4 linked regions of the Arabidopsis thaliana genome follow. The protein of the gene in region 1 interacts with the protein of each later gene in a pairwise test. Each region holds a gene or a part of one and is shown in the gene's direction. Other genes may lie near its edges. The genes, in order: SAL1, EIR1, PIN1 and FYPP1.

Region 1 (4,200 bases):
TGTGAGGGAAGAATACACTGATTAATCTTTACGATAAGAGAGAACAAAACTGCTCCATTTTTGAAAGTTCAAAAATACCGGACAACTTCAAATGTGGGACAATCTCTCTATATCTTTTAACTGCGTTTTCCAATCCGTCGCAGCTTTTGTTCTCGGGATAAAAGCTGAATACATATTGATCTCGCGTTGTTACTGCAGGAAGAAGAAAACATAAAACCATTAAGAACTTTGGTTTATCTTATTCATTCATCTTGAAAGCAAGAAATAAGAAACTAACCATCGCCAAAACCGAAACAAGGTATAAGATCATCTTCATCAAAGGGAGACAAAGTACGACCAATAATCGATATTGCTTTCTCATATGGATTCTGTCTTTTACCAATGGCATGAAGGCTTTTTCTATTGAATGAATATCTCCCTGCAATGAAAATTCAGAACATTAACCAAAACCATTGAATCTTTTCGTAAACATGTGTAGCATTTTTTATCAAATCAAATAATTACCTGTCCACTCATTGCTCTTGGTAAAGTCAATTCCTAGAATCAGATTTGAAGATTCAAGTCCAGCTTCTCTCAGAGAAGTTATCACCTAAAAAGCAAAGTTCACAAGAAATTCATCACTATGAAAGAGACTAAAATCAAGAAATAACTAAGTAAGTTTATGAGACCTGATCCAAACTGCTGAAATGATCAGCAATATACGAAGGTTGCTGATTACGTTTATTGCTCATGTTCATTGAAAAAACCCTGCAGCACAAGAACCTTCAGAAATCCAATCTTTGGAGAAGAAACCAATCAAAATCAAGAATAAAAGATACAGTTACACAAGTGGCAAGTATATATCAACCTGGAGTTTGTTGAAAACACAAAAGACTTCTCGGAATCTTTCTTGTAAGAAAAAACTTTTGTTGGAGATTATCTTCTGTAGGAAGATTAAATTATTAAAAAGATGGCACAAAAGAGAAATATGAACATATAAAAATACTTTAGCAGAAAAAAATGAACATATAAAACTATAGAAAGTGGGTTTTGTTGAATCTTGAAAGTTAGTGGAACGTGACCCTTTGCTTGCGCCGGCAAATAATCAAAACGTATTTTGCTCTCTCACACGCCATCATCAATCTAGAAATCTTTTTTAGTCTTGTCTCTGCGTCATTAATGATTTATCCATAACCCAAAATCATAGACCAAATTTCAACATGATTCATGTGGACAACGTGGCAAAGCTGTAGCTCTTGTCTGAAGAAAATTATTTGGGCTTTTGATTCCCTCAAAATATATTAACCCAGAACCGTTTTTATTGGGCTTCTTCATTCATCAAGAAGCCTTTTTGTATCTTCACCACCTATAAATTCACTTATGTTTCAACCACAACATCCACGTGCGATTAGCCCAAAACTCAACAACCAATCTACGAAGATCACTAAAGTTTTTTATTTTTATGATTTTCACCGTTTGTACTTGTTCTTTCAATTGGTGCCACATGGACCCCTAAACCAACAGAGCAAATATGGCCTTTCTTGATCTAAAATAAAGTTTAGGGTTTAAGTTCAGAGAATAAATAAGTACACTGGTGTAAATGGGAAATTCAAAAAAGTAATAATAATTGTCTCTGCAATCAGAAAATGTGAAGACATATATTTATCTTCTTGAAAAGCGAATGATGTCTATAAATTGTTTTCGAACAGCGAAGGCTCCGCTTCAATCATTTGTAGCAGTAAGAACGAATTCGAGACCTAGAAATTCATCGAACCGTCTCGTTTCTGTATTCGGACGCAAGTCTTCTTCTCCTTCATTTGTTACTCTCAGAGTTGTTTCATCGATGGCTTACGAGAAAGAGCTTGATGCTGCTAAGAAAGCTGCTTCACTCGCTGCTCGTCTCTGTCAGGTTAGGGTTTTTTCGATTCAATCATGACCCATAGATTCTAAAGTTTGATTCTTTAAGAAACCCATTTTGTAAATCTTCCAAATTTCGTTTAACATTTTGTGTTTATTGTGCATTGCATCTGTAATTGGGAATAGATTCTAGTGATATAGTGTAATGGTCCTCTACATACGAAGCTCGTGTAAATCTTTGATCAAAATCTTATCTTTGTGTTTTGGGTTTGTTTCAGAAAGTTCAAAAGGCTTTGTTGCAATCAGATGTGCAATCAAAATCTGATAAAAGTCCAGTGACCGTTGCTGATTATGGTTAGTTTGTTATACCTGTCCCTGATTAGAAAAAGCTCTTCTCTTTGAATGTTACTGAGATTGTTAGGAAATCACTTAATTTGATCTGTCTTGTGTTGAATTTCAGGTTCACAAGCAGTTGTTAGTTTAGTCTTAGAAAAAGAGCTCAGTTCTGAACCCTTTTCATTGGTGGCTGAAGAGGTGAAACTGCTTAATAAATCCTTGTTAGATGTCTCACACTTTACTTATCTTTGAGTTTGTGTTTATGGACTCACATTGTCTAAAATGATCTATATAGGACTCAGGCGATCTACGCAAGGATGGTTCTCAGGATACTCTGGAGCGCATCACAAAACTCGTGAACGACACTTTGGCTACCGAGGAATCGTTTAATGGCTCTACTTTGTCTACTGATGATCTACTTAGAGCCATTGACTGTGGAACATCTGAAGGTGGTCCAAATGGTCGACACTGGGTCTTGGATCCAATTGATGGCACTAAAGGGTACGTTTTAAAACTAACTAGCCTAAAGTCAAATCTTCTTATTTCAGAGAAAATGTAAATTTGATAGAATGTTGAGTCAGATGTTATGTTCCTGACACTGAGCATTTTCATGATTTTAGATTTCTGAGGGGAGATCAATACGCAGTAGCACTAGGATTGCTCGAGGAAGGGAAAGTAGTTTTAGGTGTGCTTGCTTGTCCAAACTTGCCGTTAGCATCCATAGCAGGAAACAACAAGAACAAATCTTCGTCAGACGAAATTGGATGCCTCTTCTTTGCTACAATTGGTTCAGGGACATATATGCAGCTCCTAGATTCAAAATCTTCTCCTGTAAAAGTGCAAGTCTCTAGTGTTGAGAATCCTGAAGAGGCATCGTTCTTCGAGTCATTCGAAGGAGCTCACTCTCTACATGACTTATCCAGCTCCATTGCCAATGTAAATTGCTTCTTTCCTTCCATGTGATTCCAGCTAATAGCTAACTAATTTTCCTCATCCATTTGATCATGTTCTATGTTGTAATATACAGAAACTCGGTGTCAAAGCTCCACCAGTCCGTATTGATAGCCAAGCAAAGTATGGAGCTTTATCAAGAGGAGATGGAGCTATATACTTACGGTTTCCTCATAAAGGATACCGCGAAAAGATTTGGGACCATGTCGCTGGTGCTATAGTTGTTACAGGTAACATTAAAGCTTACTCTCTATGAAGCTAATTTTATAGTGTCGACATGCGGATGTAAATAGATAAGGAATGCAAGGTTGATTCTTCTTTTTGGTGCAGAGGCGGGTGGAATAGTGACAGATGCAGCAGGAAAGCCACTGGATTTCTCGAAAGGGAAGTATCTTGATTTGGACACAGGCATTATCGTTGCTAACGAGAAGCTAATGCCTCTGCTTTTGAAAGCAGTTCGTGACTCCATAGCTGAGCAAGAGAAAGCTTCAGCTCTCTGATTTGTTTTTTTCTCTCGTACGTTCTTTGTTTCTCTGTAACTGTTGTTTCATTTTCTTTCACCGAATTTCACCAGTGAGAATTTCTTCCATTTTCGAAAAAGAAATAAAAATGAAATTCTGTTTTGGGCTAAGTATAAAGGGTTATGTAGAGAATTTAATATGGACCAGTAACGGGCCGTAAAAAGGCCTTTTAAGGGTTACATGCATGATGCACCGACGTACGTGTCTACAGTGCGTAGATACTTTATCTTAATACGAAAGTAAGCGCGTTAAGTAGAAAATCTCTTCATATAGAAATAATTAATATGGTGTAAATAGTTTTTTTTTTTCTTTGGTTATAGTATAACTAAAATATTATTGTGTACCATCTTACAAAAAAATATATATTATTGTGCAACTTTTAGAAATTCGTGATTTTATTCCCAATAATATCCCATTCACGATGAAAGGAATCGTTGAGACTTTGTAAATAATTAAATGTAGTCTAGTGATCTAGTCAAACTTTATAAAGGGGCGATCACAAATCTACTAGTCGCACAATTTTTTTTAATCTTTTCATGTGAATAATATATACTAG
Region 2 (7,304 bases), 2.5 Mb from region 1:
GGTCTTGAAGCTTATAAACGATCCTCAAAAAAGTGTTTTGATATTTCCATAATTCTTTAGAGTAGCTTGACCTTATTATATAATTCAAAACTTTGGCCTTAGATAATGAGATTCAGGCAGGGAGGTGACGTGTTACTCACGCGCGAGAGCTGCGCGTTCAAATCATAAAAAGCCGACTTGCTATAAAAGCAAACTTGTTGATGATGGTTCAAAATTTCGAAAAGCTTTTCAAATTTCTCTTCATATCGCGCGCTCAGTCAAAAAGCAGAGCCAAAGATGAAGAAACCGTATAAAGGAAAGTTGCCGACGGGAACTCCGTCTCTGGCAATGTCAACACTCGTCGTCGTTGCTTCCCTTCTCGCCGGAGCCTCCGTTGTCCACAACATCTACAAACCAGATCTCGTAAGCTTCACCTTCTCTTTCTGTACATATGTTAGGGTTCTCAAATGTATTAGGTTTGCTCACTTTCTTCGTTCTTGATAATGCCCATAAGCGTGATCGGTTTAAAACCATTCATTTCGTTCTCTGGCTCTGTGATCTCTCTTTTATTGTAATGCACATAAGGTGTTCGATGAATTGCCCATGAGAGATTTGTAATCTGATTGCTTTTTACTTTTGTGCAGAGTTTACCACCGTTGGAAAGTAGTGAAGTGGCCAAGAAGGATGATTCTGTAAACAAAGTTTGAATCTTTCAATAGTTTCATCCTGTTTTATCAGGCTACATTCACTTTGGTTGTTCTCTTTCAATTCATGAGTTAACAAAAAAACATGGATAAAGTTTAAAACTGAGATCACTTATTAAAGGCTTTTATTCTTCTTCCTCTTGTGAAGATGTAAAGAAGAACAAACTCTTTTTAGGTTTCTTGTTGGTCAATTCACCGTTTTTTTTAAAGAGATATAAGAAATCGCGATGATCGTGTAGATGACATAGAGACCAACGAATTGATGGAGTCTTTGCTACGGATTGTGGAAAACCATGTCTTCGATACATATTGGAACTTCAAAAGAGATTTTAGTGATAATCTAGTTAGTATCTCCATCGTTAGATCCATAGGTCCATTAGGCCCAAACGCCCAATCACGTGGCGTGATAAATACGTTAACAATTGCAATATGAAGAAAACACGACAATTAAATATGGAAGAGAGGCTAATTATTCATCGGTCCAATTGCCAATGTCTTTGACTGTAGTTAATAATAAATCATTAAGAGATTTTCGTTTAAAAACAAAAATACACCGTTTCAAGATTAAAAGATAAGTTAATTACAATTGTATTTTTCCTGATTAAAAATCAGATGTTTACAGGGAACCGCAGATCGCTCAGAAAGTGTAGTAAGATGCTCGCAAAAACCATGTGCATGTCCATCAACCTTCGCCGTCTCAATAGCTTACACAAAAATCGTTTTTGTTTTCTTATTAATATAAAACCTAATCTAAATTTACAAATTTGTTTTCTTATTAATATAAAATCTAATCTAAATTTACAAATTTGTATTACACGTACAAGTGGATCCAAGTATCTGACTCTACAGATATTTTGAATCTAACATTTGTGTAATTATAATTTATAATCTCTGAAGCATTTAATTTTACTTACAAATAATGTTAGACCACGAGACAGAAGGTAAACCAATCTTCCTTATCCCAAGATAAGATTCTTCAAATTAAATATAACGGCTTTTTGCAGAAGTAATAAAGATAGAAGGAATATCTAGTATCAACGGAAAAAAAGAAAAAATCTAGAGCACTTCGAAAAATTATGGACCAAAGAAGATTCAGACTGAAATTATTACTGTATTAGTATTTGTCCATTCACAAAATGCCGAGGAAGAAAAAAGGCATTTTGGTTTATATTTTGTTTATTTGATATTCAAATGTCCAACGATCCTCTCTAGCTAAGCTTAGCTATAATTCAATGTTTGAACACGAATCCCATTATTTTAACACAAACAACATTAATTAAATATCGTCTCAAGGAACTTCACTTCCTTGTCCATAAATACGTTATTTCACACCACATATACTCATCTATATCTCTATTTTTCTTCTTCTTCTCTCTCTCGCCGGAAAAAGTAAATCAAAATGATCACCGGCAAAGACATGTACGATGTTTTAGCGGCTATGGTGCCGCTATACGTTGCTATGATATTAGCCTATGGTTCGGTACGGTGGTGGGGGATATTCACACCGGACCAATGTTCCGGTATAAACCGGTTCGTTGCGGTTTTCGCGGTTCCTCTTCTCTCTTTCCATTTCATCTCCTCCAATGATCCTTATGCAATGAATTACCACTTCCTCGCTGCTGATTCTCTTCAGAAAGTCGTTATCCTCGCCGCACTCTTTCTTTGGCAGGCCCGTCTCTTTCAATAATCTCTCTATGCACATAATCTATCTTCATTAAGTGATGGTAGTCTACTAGTAATTGCTATGATGGTCAATTTTTACTCGAAAACATATTGGTTATCGAAAGCTTATAGTATAGTAACTATGTCATTTAACACGGGTAAATATTTTAGTTAACATTTTAGCTCTTTTGTAATATGTGTCTCTAAACACACACATTCTCATGTTTGTGTATATATTGTGATATTATTTTTTAGGCGTTTAGCCGCAGAGGAAGCCTAGAATGGATGATAACGCTCTTTTCACTATCAACACTGCCTAACACGTTGGTAATGGGAATCCCATTGCTTAGGGCGATGTACGGAGACTTCTCCGGTAACCTAATGGTGCAGATCGTGGTGCTTCAGAGCATCATATGGTATACATTAATGCTCTTCTTGTTTGAGTTCCGTGGGGCTAAGCTTCTCATCTCCGAGCAGTTCCCGGAGACGGCTGGTTCAATTACTTCCTTCAGAGTTGACTCTGATGTTATCTCTCTTAATGGCCGTGAACCCCTCCAGGTATGAATTTTTCACTGATGACCTTTTTCATATGTTTGTTCAAATTAACGGACCGGTTAACTCAAGTAAACTAGAAAATGGGTAGTTACTAGTTACGACATGACTACATGTCATTTTGGGATTCCTTTTTGCCTATGTAAATCTATAACAAATTTTGAGTTTTGTCTGAGTTCCTTTTTCAGAAGTCAAAAATAATCTTCAAAGTGACGTGTTACATTATTCACGCAGAATTTAATAATTAGTACAATATAAGAAATATCAAGTTATTAACTATAGTCTAGTTGAATTTTCATTCTTTTTGTACCGATTCGGTTATATCCGGTTTAAATCACATCGACTCGAAATTCATCACCTAAAAATATGGATTTATCTTTCATTAGACCGATGCGGAGATAGGAGACGACGGAAAGCTACACGTGGTGGTTCGAAGATCAAGTGCCGCCTCATCAATGATCTCTTCATTCAACAAATCTCACGGCGGAGGACTTAACTCCTCCATGATAACGCCGCGAGCTTCAAATCTCACCGGCGTAGAGATTTACTCCGTTCAATCGTCACGAGAGCCGACGCCGAGAGCTTCTAGCTTTAATCAGACAGATTTCTACGCAATGTTTAACGCAAGCAAAGCTCCAAGCCCTCGTCACGGTTACACTAATAGCTACGGCGGCGCTGGAGCTGGTCCAGGTGGAGATGTTTACTCACTTCAGTCTTCTAAAGGCGTGACGCCGAGAACGTCAAATTTTGATGAGGAAGTTATGAAGACGGCGAAGAAAGCAGGAAGAGGAGGCAGAAGTATGAGTGGGGAATTATACAACAATAATAGTGGTATGAATTTTTTAATATATATATATATATATATTTATTTTTTATTTATTTTTTTAAAAAAATATATTTTGCTTCTTTATAAATTTAAATAGATATAAGAATCGATTCAGATATTATTATTATTTTCCATCAGTCACCGGTGATTATAAGTGGGATATTATTAGGTTTAAAAAGGTTTAAAAGTTAAGTAAAGAGTTCATCAAATAATTTTGCGTAATTATTTTTTTCTTTTAACAAAATAATAATAATTTAGTATATCACTTCCAAAACTCTTAGGTTTTTAAACTGATTATAGTTTTGGAAAACAAAATATTAATTTTGTATTTTGAAATTTAAATGTGATTTTTTCATTATAATGTAATGTTTTAAAATAAAATTTTCTATAATTTATGGTCAGTTCCGTCGTACCCACCGCCGAACCCAATGTTCACGGGGTCAACGAGTGGAGCAAGTGGAGTCAAGAAAAAGGAAAGTGGTGGCGGAGGAAGCGGTGGCGGAGTAGGAGTAGGAGGACAAAACAAGGAGATGAACATGTTCGTGTGGAGTTCGAGTGCTTCTCCGGTGTCGGAAGCCAACGCGAAGAATGCTATGACCAGAGGTTCTTCCACCGATGTATCCACCGACCCTAAAGTTTCTATTCCTCCTCACGACAACCTCGCTACTAAAGGTTTATTAATCTCCAACTTATTTCATATTTTTTTTTATCATTACTTGCCACGCTTCTATTTTTTTTTTAACTTTTAGGAAAAATGTATAAAGCTCAATATCGGTTCTAAGTTTTTTTTATAGTTTTTTCAAAGTTTCAAAACTTATGAAAACTTTTAAACTAATTAAAGTAGATTTTTATTTGGTTCCGTACGGCTTTCTATAAGTTAGTTTTTTGGTCGAAGAAAGGTCATAATAAATTTAGTTTAGTATTTTCTGTGATATTTAATTATAATTATATTCATACTTGGTGATGACAGCGATGCAGAATCTGATAGAGAACATGTCACCGGGAAGAAAAGGGCATGTGGAAATGGACCAAGACGGTAATAACGGGGGAAAGTCACCTTACATGGGCAAAAAAGGTAGCGACGTGGAAGACGGCGGTCCCGGTCCTAGGAAACAGCAGATGCCGCCGGCGAGTGTGATGACGAGACTAATTCTGATAATGGTTTGGAGAAAACTCATTCGAAACCCTAACACTTACTCTAGTCTCTTTGGCCTTGCTTGGTCCCTTGTCTCTTTCAAGTAAGTACTAATAATAATGTCACAATCATATAACATAACAATATATTTGGGCAATTGCTTGATGTTGTTGATCATTTTATGGGACAGGTGGAATATAAAGATGCCAACGATAATGAGTGGATCGATTTCGATATTATCTGATGCTGGTCTTGGAATGGCTATGTTTAGTCTTGGTATAGTTCCCTTCATATATATATTTAGTTATAGTCTTTGGTGCTTTTTTTTTTGCTAATTATTGATACATATAGGTCTATTTATGGCATTGCAACCAAAGATTATTGCGTGCGGAAAATCAGTAGCAGGGTTTGCGATGGCCGTAAGGTTCTTGACTGGACCAGCCGTGATCGCAGCCACCTCAATAGCAATTGGTATTCGAGGTGATCTCCTCCATATCGCCATCGTTCAGGTGATTACTCTTTAGTCTTATATATATTTCAATCTAACTTACAGTTTGATGTTTTAGCTAGTGATGTTGGGTTTCTTTGAAAAATATAATTGATAAGAATATATATAATTGTATGTTTTGAAGGCTGCTCTTCCTCAAGGAATCGTTCCTTTTGTTTTCGCCAAAGAATATAACGTCCATCCTGATATTCTCAGCACTGCGTAAGTTATTTAAGTTATAAAATATTTAATTTTCATTCTTAAACTTCATTTTAATACTATATATAAGATATTAATTTGGTATTCAAACTATACAAAGTTACAGAGATCTCCTAAGCTAAAAACTTGATATTATTTTTCAGGGTTATATTCGGAATGCTGGTTGCTTTGCCTGTAACAGTACTCTACTACGTTCTTTTGGGGCTTTAAGTTATTATCAAAACGTATTTGCAAATAAAAGGCGATACGACCCAAAGGTGATTTTTTTTCAAACGAAAAAGAATAATTACAAGAACGAAAAAAGACTAATTCCAGGTCAGGCTTAGGTGTATGGGACCATGCAATGTCGCATTAATTAAATTATAGCATATGATAGTCGAAAATTTAGATAACTTTGTATAATTAATTATATGCACATGCATGTACGTGACTTTGTAGTTTTTGTTACATTTATTAAATTTTTGGGATGTGCAAGTACAATTATTTACTATTGATTAGTTTTTTCTATTTATCGATGGTCGTGAAGCATGTTATTAAATTACACTAATATTTCATCATATACTAGTCAAGTATTACTAGATCGCGCAGTCTGTTTAGATTAGATCTTGTGCTTTTCTAAATCTCCATACAATTCTTTATTTTGTTTTGGATCAAATGCACTAATACTTCCACATATAACCTTTTTATTTCATTTCTTTTGTCTTATATATTTATGTTTTTGTTTGTATGTAAAGTTAATTATGAACGTTATTTTTTTTGTTAAAAAATTATGAACGTAATATTCGGTTGAAGCTTGAAGGTAGTCGCATTTTAATTCGATGAGTAAAGAACAATCAAACTTATAATAGAATTTAATTTTCCTTTATTTTAGTATATACTTATCTGTCACCAATAAGATATCACTCGGACTATTTTTGGAGTGATACAAAGAATTTGCGTGGAGAAAGAAACATTTCAAATGAAAGCACTAGTCTAGACAATTGATTGTGTAGTAAGATAGTTGCTGATGATAAGTTTTGCGTTATAGACAAATTGTGCATATCTAACATGTGTGAATATCTTAACGAGTGATCAAACTTTTCAACCAAACTGTCCAAAGTTTTTATGAAATAGAAATTATTTTTCTTCTTTTTCCTTGCGTTTGATTAATTATGAGCTCCTCAAAACGTATCGGTGATCGGCGCTTGAATTTAAGTATGTAAATGTAATGTACTAGAAAAGATGGCTTGGCTCTGGAGGCGTTGACTGTGTAACGTGAAAACGATCACGTGGGGTATCAAAACGATGAGATATACGTTGGAACTCGCTCTTTGGTCGGAACGTAATTGAACGAACAACAACACATGAGAAATTCAATAACAATTCTTCTCTATATAGTTGTCCTGACCTCTGACTTATCTGACAATAGATCTTTTAATAGTTTACACGTAAAAATATTTATTATTCAATGAAGTGCGTAAGAGAAATAGCATATGTATACTAAGGGTAAAAGTATTTATACGTTTTGATGTTTTCAGAAGGTTTTGTGCATTGAGTAGGAGACAACATTTGCTCAGTGACAGCTCTTGTCTCTCTAGGCACCTTACTATTATAATGTCTCATCGTGAATCTTATCTTGTATAACAAATTAATGTTCATATTGTTTCAAGTACATTATAGCACATGTTTATAAACAAACTTGCATAAATACCTTAGAATTTTATCATTTTTGCTAATGCCAAAAATTATCAGTCTCTTACT
Region 3 (6,001 bases), on another chromosome or scaffold:
ATCTTACTCTCTTTTCCATTTTTCCCGTTTCAAGTGTTTGCTAAAAGATCAATTTTAATTTTCTCGTTTCAAGTATTTGCTAAAAGGTCATCCATCACCCATAACCATAAGTCAAGCCGTGCAAACATAGAGTATTAGAAAAAACGTTAATTTGAGTTCAATATTACACAAAGTCGCAGTTGTAACAAGGATTTGCACAACAAAAGATTGAAAGATTAATGGATTAGTGACAAATAATTTGAAAGATCCAAAATATCATTAACTATATGGAATGTGAAAAAATCCTGCAATTTTTTTTTTTTTTTTGCCGTGTTAAAAATTCAATTCTTTCAAAGAACCAATTTTAAAATTATTTGTCAGTAAAAAAAAATAGAAACTACTTGATTTATAATTTTTAATAGAAAAATGATGTTAAGTCATCAACTCTTTTATTTTTTCGTAACTTCTCAACATATTTACTTTATTCGGATTGCATAACCTACTTTTTTTGTGTGTATAGTCTCTTTAAGCGCAAGAAATGGCAAGGAAAGTCGAATTATATTAGTACTATATATTATTATTATGCTTAAAAAAAAGTTGAAAACATTGGAAAAATAAAAAGCTGGAAAGAAAAAAAAAAGAAGAACTGTGTTTGTATGGGATGATGAGAAAAATGAAGAGCAGACTGTTGATGGAATATTGTGTTTCCTCAAATATCAACACTCCTCATTATATCATCAACCCATTGCTTTTTGTACGGACTTTATTAGTAGTATTAAAGAACACATCAGACTGATTTGTGTAAGCAAACCAGAACCACCCTCTTTTCAACATTTTTCTTTCAAAAAACTTCTACGTATTTATGTTCAATAAAACTTTGTTACTAATTTTCTCAACGAAATATATTTTATAAAACTTTGTTAGTAATGTTATACAGTAAACAGTAAAAGAAAATAAGTTCCAAGATGAGCGATCAAAGGATTGAATAGTTCATAAATAATTCGTATGCGCAACTACAACTGTAAATGATAACCTATGCAATGATAACTCACACACACCCATCTCACATGAAAAAGTGATTTCGACCTTATGTTAGTGATATCACATCTTTTCTTTTATCTCCACCCACAAAGTCTTTGGTTAGGAACTAGTTTGTTCAATTGCAACCATTTTTCCAAAGACTTTCAACCTCTCTTCGGAGAAGACTTCTATCTTTAAAACCAAAATTTTCTAAGTTCATATAAACATCAAATCGAGCCTTATATCATCACTTCAATGTGTATTTATCTTCTGTTGTGATTTATCAATTGAAAGTCAATACCAAAAATCCCATCATACTAATCACAATAATTTATAGCAAAAATAAATTTAACAATTTTTAAACATGGTAAAAATATAAATTTAATAATTAGTATAGGGGATAAATTGATCAACCGAATAGATTAATTCATAATTTGAAAAGGCCAAAAAAAAAAGAGAGAGGCAAAAACAGAGGCTCTGCTTTGGACTCCGCAAAGCGCACAAGGCCGCCTCTTTCACTATCCCCAAAGCTCCACCACGCACCCATCAACCACCATTTTTATTTCGTTTTTATTACATTCAAAAAAACTTCTTTTTGTCGTATTTCAATCAAAATTACATCACACACACTATTATGTTGGAATGTTTAACAAAACAAATAAATATGTTGAGCTATTCCAATTTTACATTTAATGTTTTTTTACTCCTACACGTAAACTACTTTTGAATATAATATCTAGAAACTAACCAAATAATCGAAAACGAAAATAATAAAATCAGCAAACAGTTTTAGCTTCATTAACAAAATATATATATGTTTAATTAAAAAATATGGTATTTTCTCAACGGACAAAAAAATAAAATAAAAAGAATATAAAAATGTGGTCTCTTCTCAACACTCACTTTACTCTTTTTTCCCTCTTCACCACTTCTCTCTCAAACTAAAGACAAAAGCTCTTCTCTCTTCCCTCTCTCTTCTCCGGCGAACAAAAGATGATTACGGCGGCGGACTTCTACCACGTTATGACGGCTATGGTTCCGTTATACGTAGCTATGATCCTCGCTTACGGCTCTGTCAAATGGTGGAAAATCTTCACACCAGACCAATGCTCCGGCATAAACCGTTTCGTCGCTCTCTTCGCCGTTCCTCTCCTCTCTTTCCACTTCATCGCCGCTAACAACCCTTACGCCATGAACCTCCGTTTCCTCGCCGCAGATTCTCTCCAGAAAGTCATTGTCCTCTCTCTCCTCTTCCTCTGGTGCAAACTCAGCCGCAACGGTTCTTTAGATTGGACCATAACTCTCTTCTCTCTCTCGACACTCCCCAACACTCTAGTCATGGGGATACCTCTTCTCAAAGGCATGTATGGTAATTTCTCCGGCGACCTCATGGTTCAAATCGTTGTTCTTCAGTGTATCATTTGGTACACACTCATGCTCTTTCTCTTTGAGTACCGTGGAGCTAAGCTTTTGATCTCCGAGCAGTTTCCAGACACAGCAGGATCTATTGTTTCGATTCATGTTGATTCCGACATTATGTCTTTAGATGGAAGACAACCTTTGGAAACTGAAGCTGAGATTAAAGAAGATGGGAAGCTTCATGTTACTGTTCGTCGTTCTAATGCTTCAAGGTCTGATATTTACTCGAGAAGGTCTCAAGGCTTATCTGCGACACCTAGACCTTCGAATCTAACCAACGCTGAGATATATTCGCTTCAGAGTTCAAGAAACCCAACGCCACGTGGCTCTAGTTTTAATCATACTGATTTTTACTCGATGATGGCTTCTGGTGGTGGTCGGAACTCTAACTTTGGTCCTGGAGAAGCTGTGTTTGGTTCTAAAGGTCCTACTCCGAGACCTTCCAACTACGAAGAAGACGGTGGTCCTGCTAAACCGACGGCTGCTGGAACTGCTGCTGGAGCTGGGAGGTTTCATTATCAATCTGGAGGAAGTGGTGGCGGTGGAGGAGCGCATTATCCGGCGCCGAACCCAGGGATGTTTTCGCCCAACACTGGCGGTGGTGGAGGCACGGCGGCGAAAGGAAACGCTCCGGTGGTTGGTGGGAAAAGACAAGACGGAAACGGAAGAGATCTTCACATGTTTGTGTGGAGCTCAAGTGCTTCGCCGGTCTCAGATGTGTTCGGCGGTGGAGGAGGAAACCACCACGCCGATTACTCCACCGCTACGAACGATCATCAAAAGGACGTTAAGATCTCTGTACCTCAGGGGAATAGTAACGGTATAGTCCCTCTATAACTTTGTTGTTTTGTTTTCGCACCCTAATTTATTTTCTTTACAAAAACACCCCCAAAATTTCTCTATGTCCTTCGATATTTATGATTTGGTTAAGGGGTTCTTTAATTGTTTACATGTGTTGTTGCCTTACTTTAGACAACCAGTACGTGGAGAGGGAAGAGTTTAGTTTCGGTAACAAAGACGATGATAGCAAAGTATTGGCAACGGACGGTGGGAACAACATAAGCAACAAAACGACGCAGGCTAAGGTGATGCCACCAACAAGTGTGATGACAAGACTCATTCTCATTATGGTTTGGAGGAAACTTATTCGTAATCCCAACTCTTACTCCAGTTTATTCGGCATCACCTGGTCCCTCATTTCCTTCAAGTACTGTTTCAAACTTGTCTTATTTTCACTTTACTTTGGTTTTGGTCTACTATTTTAACCACTTTCTTGATGCATAAAGGGTCAGCCTTGAATGCGTATATGTTTGAAAGTTTTTTCTGATAGATTGAAGTAACAAAAGATTTGAGAAAGATCTCTTTATTGGAATTAAATTGATGTGGTCTGTGCAGGTGGAACATTGAAATGCCAGCTCTTATAGCAAAGTCTATCTCCATACTCTCAGATGCAGGTCTAGGCATGGCTATGTTCAGTCTTGGTCAGTTCCTTTTTCTCTTTTCTTTTATTTTTACCTCTTTTCATTTATTACATAATTAAATACCATAAAACAGTCAATTGTTCTCTTTATTTCTGACCTTCATTCTTTATGGTGTTTTTTAAATTTTAAATGATTTTAAGAAAAAAAACAAATCATGTGGAAGCATGATTCTCTCTGTTTTCTTTTTCTTTGAAGTTTTTTTGAAACATGTTTGTATCAAAAAAGCAAACAAAACTGGCTTCACAGCAGAAAGCATGCTCCACAGTTCTCTGCTTATCATCATAACATGTCTCTCCCTTGAATAGGAGGAACCATTTTTTATTTTCTCTTAAAGCAACAAACAATTTTTTTATACCTAATATTGACCCCCTTATCGATGAAAAAACTTTCTTTTTTACCTTGTTTATGTTTCAGTAGACTTCCATCAACTGATTATAAAATTTGTGCTTAATCATGACTTTATGGAATGAATAGTTTAGGATAACGATAATGATGATGTTAATGTTGTGGTGGTGGATCAGTGGCTGTGATGATTATTTTTATGTCACTCTTTTGCAGCTAAAAACAGTGTATAAACTTAAATTAACCAAAAAGCAAAACAATAATAAATTATTTGTTTAAATTTGTGGCTTTTTTTGGATGTGTTAAAGGGTTGTTCATGGCGTTAAACCCAAGAATAATAGCTTGTGGAAACAGAAGAGCAGCTTTTGCGGCGGCTATGAGATTTGTCGTTGGACCTGCCGTCATGCTCGTTGCTTCTTATGCCGTTGGCCTCCGTGGCGTCCTCCTCCATGTTGCCATTATCCAGGTAGTTTTTATTTGCATGATCAAATATGAAACACTTCTGTTGTGTCTACTGTCGTTTATACGATTTCTAACCATTATTTTTATTGACAACAAACAGGCAGCTTTGCCGCAAGGAATAGTACCGTTTGTGTTTGCCAAAGAGTATAATGTGCATCCTGACATTCTTAGCACTGCGTAAGTTTATTAATCTATTAAATAGTTTTGTTGTTATAACAATAAATTTTGTTGTAGAAAAAAAGTTAGGTTGGTTTTGCCTACATTAATTATGATTAGGTGTATATATAAATATATTTTTGTTAACGTGAGTTCTGATTTTTGTTGCAGGGTGATATTTGGGATGTTGATCGCGTTGCCCATAACTCTTCTCTACTACATTCTCTTGGGTCTATGAAGAGATATTACCAAAACACAGGGACTTTGTTTTATTCTTTTGTGGGATGATGAATTGTGAAAAGAACAATGCCCTTTTTGTTGAAAACCCACAAATTAAATCAGAAGCAGCTTTAGAGAATCTTTGAGGATAATTGAAGCTCTTGAAGAAGAGAAGAAGAAGGAGACTTAAGTAGGAGCTCAGCAAGTTTTACCTTTTTCTTAATTTTAATGAACATTCGTGTTTCCTCTTTTGGTAGGTTTTAGGAATTTGTAAAAGCTTTGGCTACTTTTAGTGAATTAAAAACGTTAAGGAAAATATCAAATTTTGTGTGCATGCTAAAAGTGAATTGGTGTGTATAGGTCTAAATCTCACCAAAATAAGAAGTGTTTTAGCCATTTCAAAAGTTAAGTTCACTTAACATTTCTATGTTTCGTTTGCCTAAATGTGAAAAATCAGAAACTAAAACAGTAAAGTACATCTTCCACAAAATGTTTGAGAAAGGGATTTCTACGGGGGATTTGGGAAAATTTAAAACGTAGTCATGAATATTAGAAACTTTACAATAGCTTAGGTGGGAAGGTATGAAATAGCATGTGACTATAACAACACAGACGACACGAGTATTGGATTCAACAGAACACTCGATTAAATATGTAGAAGATAGGGGACTTGGTGCATGCGTTACGTTATTCGACTTGGTCAAGATTCCTCTTCACTGCGTTTGTGGAATCTTGAAAGATTCGTTTAGTGTTGTCAATTGTGTATCCTTTTACCGATTCTTCTCAGAATCATTACATACCACTTAGATGCTGATGCTTTTTATGAATAAAAACAAACCTTCATATTTATACGACGATCTTATATAATGATAAATCAAATGTATAATACTTAACTTGGTTTGAATTGTACTCTCGACATGAAA
Region 4 (6,096 bases), on another chromosome or scaffold:
GTGAAGGCATCATATCTTTCCGATCTTCAGCGTAGGGTTCTTAGAACCGAAGCTGCTCTTCGTGAGAAAGAAGAGGAGAACGACATCCTCCGACAAAGAGTCCAGCAGTACGATAACCGGTGGTCTGAATATGAAACAAAGATGAAATCCATGGAAGAAATTTGGCAAAAGCAGATGAAATCTTTGCAATCCAGTCTTTCCATCGCAAAGAAAAGCCTAGAGGTTGAGGACTCAGCGAGAAACTCGGATGCATCGGTGAATGCAAGCGATGCAACAGATTTAGATTCAGGAGGTAGTCATTACCAAATGGGCCATGGCAGGTCAAGAAGTGTAGGCGTGGGTTTAAGCGTGATAAGCCGGTTAGCTGAGGAATTTGGACAAAGAGCTCAGGTATTTGGTGACGACAGAAAGTTCTTGATGGAAGTGAAATCTGGTCAGGTGGAAGCAAACTTGAATCCGGACCGGGAGCTACGAAGGCTGAAACAGATGTTTGAGACATGGAAGAAAGATTATGGAGGGAGACTAAGGGAAACGAAACTGATACTTAGCAAACTTGGGAGTGAAGAAACAGGTGGTTCAGCGGAGAAGGTGAAGATGAATTGGTGGGGGAGGTTGAGGAGTACTAGGTATTAATGGTTACTTCCTTTTCTTGAGACGCACGTCTCCTTTTCTACACGTTTGATGTAACTACGGTTTTTGGCTTTGCTGCTAGAAGTGAGAAGGCTCCTTGGGACTGAAAGAGTCATGTTTTTCATTTGCCACCCAAATCTATTGGCAAATTCAGTAAATAATTTTTATATTATACAGTATATCTATTTGTCAAGGATTCCAAAGTCCAGTGAACCATTGCTGTATTTGAATATAAATAGTCGTTGCAAAAACAAATCAATATTTATATTTCTTAAATAGTTAAGTTTTTTATCAAGCTAATTAAAATGGACATAGCGAGAAATAACTACAAGGTGGTAAACTATGATAATAATATAAATTTCCTTACAAGTTTGTTTGTTTGTAAACATATGGAGTTAGAAAGGGAAAAAAAAATTGTATAGATTTTATACAAGATTGTTTTGAGTTTAAAAAATCTTTATCGTGTTTGGACAATGTGTATTTTAAAAACTATTTAACTACTAGTTTTTTTGGCCGATTTCAGTGATATCTCGACTTAGACTCTACAAAAATTTAGATAATTTGATGGATAAAATTACATATGATAAATCATGCACTTGTATCAGATGGTCAGTTGGTGGAATCCCTCTTCAACAAGTGATCTTTCTTGGAATGTTGTCGTGGGTTAAAAAAAAACTCAATCCAGCCCAAACCCGAAATGAACATGTCTGAGAAAAATCATTTCTATTCTTGCAGCTGAGTAAACTCTTCACAATTTAAATTTCGAATTACCTTTGCGATGCATCACTTTTTTAAGTGGAACTAAGTTTCGGATCACCTCTCGACCAAGTATAAACCAAACCAACACCAATATATACTTTCCGTAATATTTGGCCCTCCGACTAGTGATTTTTTCGGATGTAATTTGAACATTGGAGATTTTTTGGTGAGACAAATTCCATTTTGTCATTTTTAGAGGTCATCATAACAATACTTTTCCTTCTCAAATTATCCCTAACCAGAAGCCAAATGGGAAGACCCAAACATAAACATTGAAATGAATCGAGTGAGGTTCGCTCTTGAACGATCGTATTGCTAATGCCTATCCAAGATCATTGATTCATTTCTAACATATCCCGTACGGTCTCCCACAAACAACCTTCCTCAAAAGTTCAACATCACATAGATTTCGAAATGTGTCTTTAGACACAATTTGTTTAACAAGACTTTTAAATAATTTTTTTTAGGAGTTTTTAATTATCAAAAAGGTCTTACTCAAATTCAACAACACATATATCGAAATGTGTTTTTTTAAAAAAATTAAAAAGAAGAAAAAATACTATAAAGAAGGTTTAAGTATTTGTGGAATTTTATTTAGGTGTTATCAATTGTCACATTCAAGTAGACAAATAAAATTACCAAGAAAAGAATTGCAAAAACATTGAAAATGTGTAGTATACTCCATTAAAGATTTGTGTAATGAAGTAATAGATAAAAATTAAATTGATGTTTAATATGTTGCCAAAAAAATGATTAAAAATAAATATCCAACGAATAGAGTTTGGGGATGGAGGAAGACCAAATCGGGTTCGGGTCGAGATTGTTTGGTTCGTTGTGTTTCCCCTTTCTCTCTCTCTCCCTCTTTCCCCCTTACGTAACCCTAAGCGGACGGAGCAATGCTCTGCTAGATCTATCTTTCTTTCAATTCTTCACCAGAGATCGTCGAGACTCACCATTGAAATCGAAGAAACAGCACCAATTTCCACTTCACCACCGAAAGAGAGAGACAGAGAGGATAATAAAAGGCCGCCATGGATTTAGATCAATGGATTTCCAAGGTTAAAGACGGCCAACATCTCTCTGAGGACGAGCTTCAACTTCTCTGCGAATACGTACGCCTTCTTCTTCTTTCTTCTTTCTTCTCTTGCTTGCTTTCTCTTCCCCGAATATTCATGCATCTACAAAAACCCAATTCTTCGCTTACTCTTTTGAGACTTTAGAGCTTGCTTTGTGGCACTTTACTTTGAATCTGGTCTCTCTCCCTTACTGTTTCCTTTGCCATTTTGGTCTACGGATTTTAGGGTTTTTCTCTCATTTTTCCAATAGAGGATTTATTGACTTTGCTATTTCAATTCTAAATTCTAAGGAATTAGGGATAAGTTTAGCTCTTCTTTAGCCAATTTATGGATGCACCAAGTCCACGCTTGCAAACTGTTATTTGAGGATTTATTATAGTAATTTTAGTGTTGAAACTTGTAGTAGCAGCCGTCTTCTTCTTTTTTCATGACAATGATTTGCTAAGATACTCTGGTAATTCACAAGATATTTTGACTATTATATAGGTGAAAGAAATTCTTATTGAGGAATCAAATGTACAACCTGTCAACAGTCCTGTCACCGTCTGTGGTGATATCCATGGCCAGTTTCATGATCTTATGAAACTTTTCCAGACCGGAGGTCATGTTCCCGAGACCAATTACATATTTATGGTATAGACTCTGACTTTGGGCGTAGGCTCGTATGACATATCAATATGTAACACATAGTTTAATTATCTGTGGGGGATTTTCTCAGGGGGATTTCGTTGATAGAGGTTACAACAGTCTTGAAGTTTTCACCATTCTTTTGCTTCTTAAAGCAAGGTAAGATTTTCCGTAGAAATTGTGCGTTATATATGTCATGGATCGTCATCCTTCCGTTTCACACTGTATATCATAGTTCTCTTGAGAATGCTCTTTAAGCTGTAAACGCATTGCTCTACTGGAAAATCGATTTAACTTGTATTCCAGGAAATTTATATTCTAACTTACTTTGCTGTGAGCTTAAAATCACTCGTTTCCTTGTATTTCAATATGTAGACATCCAGCCAATATCACTCTTTTGCGTGGAAATCATGAAAGTAGACAGCTAACTCAGGTATGCATTATTCTAATCCATTTATATCTATTGTTGCTGACTTGCTGTGCTCTTCACGCAGTTACTGGTTGAGAAGTAATTTTCGCTCAATTGTTATAACTAGTTTTGAAAGTTTATTTTGTACATGTGGCAATGCCATGCTAGATATAGGCATAGATGTTAACTAAGATGCATTTTATGTGAACCCTTTGCAACCATAAGTTTTCTTCTCGGAAGCTCTTGATTTATCTCTATCCTACACCATATCCTATATCTTTTAACATCCACTGTCAAGGACGAAGATTGTAGTGATATTTTGTGCCCTGCAGGTTCATTTTTATAGTTTTCTTAAATTGTCGTACCAATTTTATATTTGCTAGGTGTATGGTTTCTATGACGAATGCCAAAGGAAGTATGGTAATGCTAATGCTTGGAGATATTGCACGGATGTTTTTGACTATCTTACACTTTCAGCTATTATAGATGGCACTGTAAGTATTTCTCAGCTTCTTTGGCATTGTGTTATGATGTGTTCTTGTATAATTTTATGAATGCATAAGTTAGCTGTATACCATATTAAAACGTATTGCATCCTCAATGTAGGTTCTATGTGTTCATGGTGGCCTTTCACCTGATGTACGGACAATTGACCAGGTTAAAATGTGCTATTTTAAATTACTTTTGGTTTTCACCATGCAAGTGTTATTTATGATTAGATTAAATCTCATTTACTCATTTAGATGTTATTTTGTTCTCTAGATAAGATTGATTGAGCGGAATTGCGAAATACCGCATGAAGGACCCTTCTGTGATCTTATGTGGAGTGATCCTGAAGATATTGAAACATGGGCTGTCAGTCCACGTGGAGCTGGTTGGCTTTTCGGGTCCAGGGTTACCACTGAGGTATTTATATTTTTTTCTGGGGTTGAAATTTGAATAAGGTGTGAAAAGAAATAAATGTATTTCAGTTCCCTGATCTGTGGTTTTGCTTCTTGTGCAGTTTAACCATATTAACAATCTTGATCTAGTATGTCGCGCTCACCAGCTTGTACAAGAAGGTCTCAAGTACATGTTCCAAGATAAAGGTCTTGTAACTGTAAGTGCCTTGCTTCCTTATGATCATTTTGGATAGTTGGAAGTATAATCTGCTTGGTGATGTTTCTTCTCTTTATTTTTTTTGTAAAGGTGTGGTCTGCGCCTAATTACTGCTACCGTTGTGGGAATGTGGCTTCTATATTGAGTTTCAATGACAACATGGTGAGGCATTTGTTTTCTCTTTTGTTACTGATCTGCCACAATATCTTGTTTCATGTTCTTCTTACTTTTATGCACTCGTCTTCGGATTCTACTTTTCCTTTTTGATTAAATAAGTTACTGCCTTTGATACTTGTCTCTCGACCCAAACATATACACATGAGTGACTCTTGTGAGATAGAGTTATGATGTTTAAGCCATTTATTTAGTAACAATTCACAGTTCGCGTGGAATCAGTCTGTCCATATTGATTGTGCTCTGTGTGTTACTTTTCATATATAGACCTGTTTCTGGGAAGTGTTTAGGATCTGGTCCTCACTGACAGTAATGATTTGTTAAAATATGCTTAATTACCAGGAAAGGGAAGTGAAGTTCTTCACGGAGACAGAAGAGAACAATCAAATGAGAGGGCCAAGGACAGGTGTTCCTTATTTCCTGTGATTCATGATGATGATCCTACATCATTATTAGTCTCGTATTGCTCTTATCAAGTTAGCCATTATCATGATTGCCATTGGCTTATGTTCTTTCAAGGTATATCTTCTGATGTTGTTTACACTTCCATTGTTTTTTTTTTCCTTTTTCCATTTTGGAAACATTTTCTTGTGAAAGTGAATGTCACTTTGGTAATTTTAGTGGTTTTGATGCACTTTAACCTGAACCTCTTCTGGATGTTATTATTATACGTGCTTTCTTTCTTGTTTTGTTTCATCTTTGTTCTGTAAGCAAGACCAATTTTTATCATCTCAGCTTATTTGCAGTTTAGCACGGTTTGATTAGGTTCTGGGTTAATCTCAGGCTTATAAAATTCATCAAGCTCAAAAATAGTCCACTACAAGAACATAGAAGACCATTAATCAACATTCAACAGTAATTTGTTTCTAATCTAATTATTTGGTTTTGTTCAATAATCCTAGCAAAAATTCACGAAAGAGTTAATAATTTTGTAACCGGAATCATAGATAGGCCGGTTTATCCAAACCGGATATGACCTGTCCTCTATTAACAAACTGGTCGCGAGTCTCTAGGCAACTAAAACGGACACGTAATATGATAATAAGGCGTGGACTCGTATCTCTCGGCACTCACTTTCTCGCGACTCGTAGTCGTCTTCTCCACTTCGATACTCCTCTCTCTTGCCTCGTTCCTCTTGTTCCTCGCCGCCGCTCTATTCTACGGCTGTCTTCTTCTTTTTCCTCTTCCTCTGAAACCGGAGCTGCGTCAGTGCGGTTGACATCACCGAGAGACATGGCGGAATCGAGATCCCCTCCTGTAGCGAAGAAGGTGGAGCATGTGATGGAGATGTTCGGTGACGTTAGGGTTGACAATTACTACTGG

Evidence for each region.
Region 2: the proteins of SAL1 (region 1) and EIR1 interact in a protein complementation assay, tested with the Arabidopsis thaliana proteins (one study listed by BioGRID).
Region 3: the proteins of SAL1 (region 1) and PIN1 interact in a protein complementation assay, tested with the Arabidopsis thaliana proteins (one study listed by BioGRID).
Region 4: the proteins of SAL1 (region 1) and FYPP1 interact in a two-hybrid assay, tested with the Arabidopsis thaliana proteins (one study listed by BioGRID).

The regions. Positions count from the first base shown.
Region 1 is NC_003076.8:25,608,180-25,612,379, forward strand, and holds SAL1 (SAL1 phosphatase-like protein), read left to right. Parts: upstream 1-1,822; coding exon 1,823-1,888; intron 1,889-2,114; coding exon 2,115-2,190; intron 2,191-2,296; coding exon 2,297-2,370; intron 2,371-2,467; coding exon 2,468-2,673; intron 2,674-2,792; coding exon 2,793-3,108; intron 3,109-3,199; coding exon 3,200-3,353; intron 3,354-3,453; coding exon 3,454-3,623; downstream 3,624-4,200. Other genes in the region: RGLG3 (Copine (Calcium-dependent phospholipid-binding protein) family), read right to left, coding at 79-192, 278-418, 505-589, 669-737. UniProt on the Arabidopsis thaliana protein: Phosphatase that converts adenosine 3'-phosphate 5'-phosphosulfate (PAPS) to adenosine 5'-phosphosulfate (APS) and 3'(2')-phosphoadenosine 5'-phosphate (PAP) to AMP. May regulate the flux of sulfur in the sulfur-activation pathway by converting PAPS to APS.
Region 2 is NC_003076.8:23,098,683-23,105,986, forward strand, and holds EIR1 (Auxin efflux carrier family protein), read left to right. Parts: upstream 1-1,833; 5' UTR 1,834-2,082; coding exon 2,083-2,352; exon of another isoform or gene 2,353-2,503; intron 2,504-2,600; coding exon 2,601-2,903; intron 2,904-3,283; coding exon 3,284-3,728; intron 3,729-4,125; coding exon 4,126-4,395; intron 4,396-4,693; coding exon 4,694-4,961; intron 4,962-5,048; coding exon 5,049-5,134; intron 5,135-5,209; coding exon 5,210-5,367; intron 5,368-5,490; coding exon 5,491-5,567; intron 5,568-5,707; coding exon 5,708-5,774; 3' UTR 5,775-6,546; downstream 6,547-7,304. Other genes in the region: AT5G57080 (uncharacterized protein), read left to right, coding at 277-402, 624-686. UniProt on the Arabidopsis thaliana protein: Acts as a component of the auxin efflux carrier. Seems to be involved in the root-specific auxin transport, and mediates the root gravitropism. Its particular localization suggests a role in the translocation of auxin towards the elongation zone.
Region 3 is NC_003070.9:27,657,780-27,663,780, forward strand, and holds PIN1 (Auxin efflux carrier family protein), read left to right. Parts: upstream 1-1,893; 5' UTR 1,894-1,992; coding exon 1,993-3,238; intron 3,239-3,390; coding exon 3,391-3,625; intron 3,626-3,813; coding exon 3,814-3,899; intron 3,900-4,549; coding exon 4,550-4,707; intron 4,708-4,803; coding exon 4,804-4,880; intron 4,881-5,030; coding exon 5,031-5,097; 3' UTR 5,098-5,474; downstream 5,475-6,001. UniProt on the Arabidopsis thaliana protein: Acts as a component of the auxin efflux carrier; this activity is enhanced when activated by D6PK-mediated phosphorylation.
Region 4 is NC_003070.9:18,656,474-18,662,569, forward strand, and holds FYPP1 (Calcineurin-like metallo-phosphoesterase superfamily protein), read left to right. Parts: upstream 1-2,034; 5' UTR 2,035-2,420; coding exon 2,421-2,501; intron 2,502-2,951; coding exon 2,952-3,098; intron 3,099-3,183; coding exon 3,184-3,251; intron 3,252-3,467; coding exon 3,468-3,525; intron 3,526-3,884; coding exon 3,885-3,995; intron 3,996-4,107; coding exon 4,108-4,158; intron 4,159-4,263; coding exon 4,264-4,407; intron 4,408-4,504; coding exon 4,505-4,600; intron 4,601-4,689; coding exon 4,690-4,761; intron 4,762-5,115; coding exon 5,116-5,199; 3' UTR 5,200-5,579; downstream 5,580-6,096. Other genes in the region: VIIIA (P-loop containing nucleoside triphosphate hydrolases superfamily protein), read left to right, coding at 1-633; AT1G50380 (Prolyl oligopeptidase family protein), read left to right, coding at 5,809-6,096. UniProt on the Arabidopsis thaliana protein: Catalytic subunit of protein phosphatase 6 (PP6). Dephosphorylates phosphorylated phytochromes, with a preference toward Pfr forms.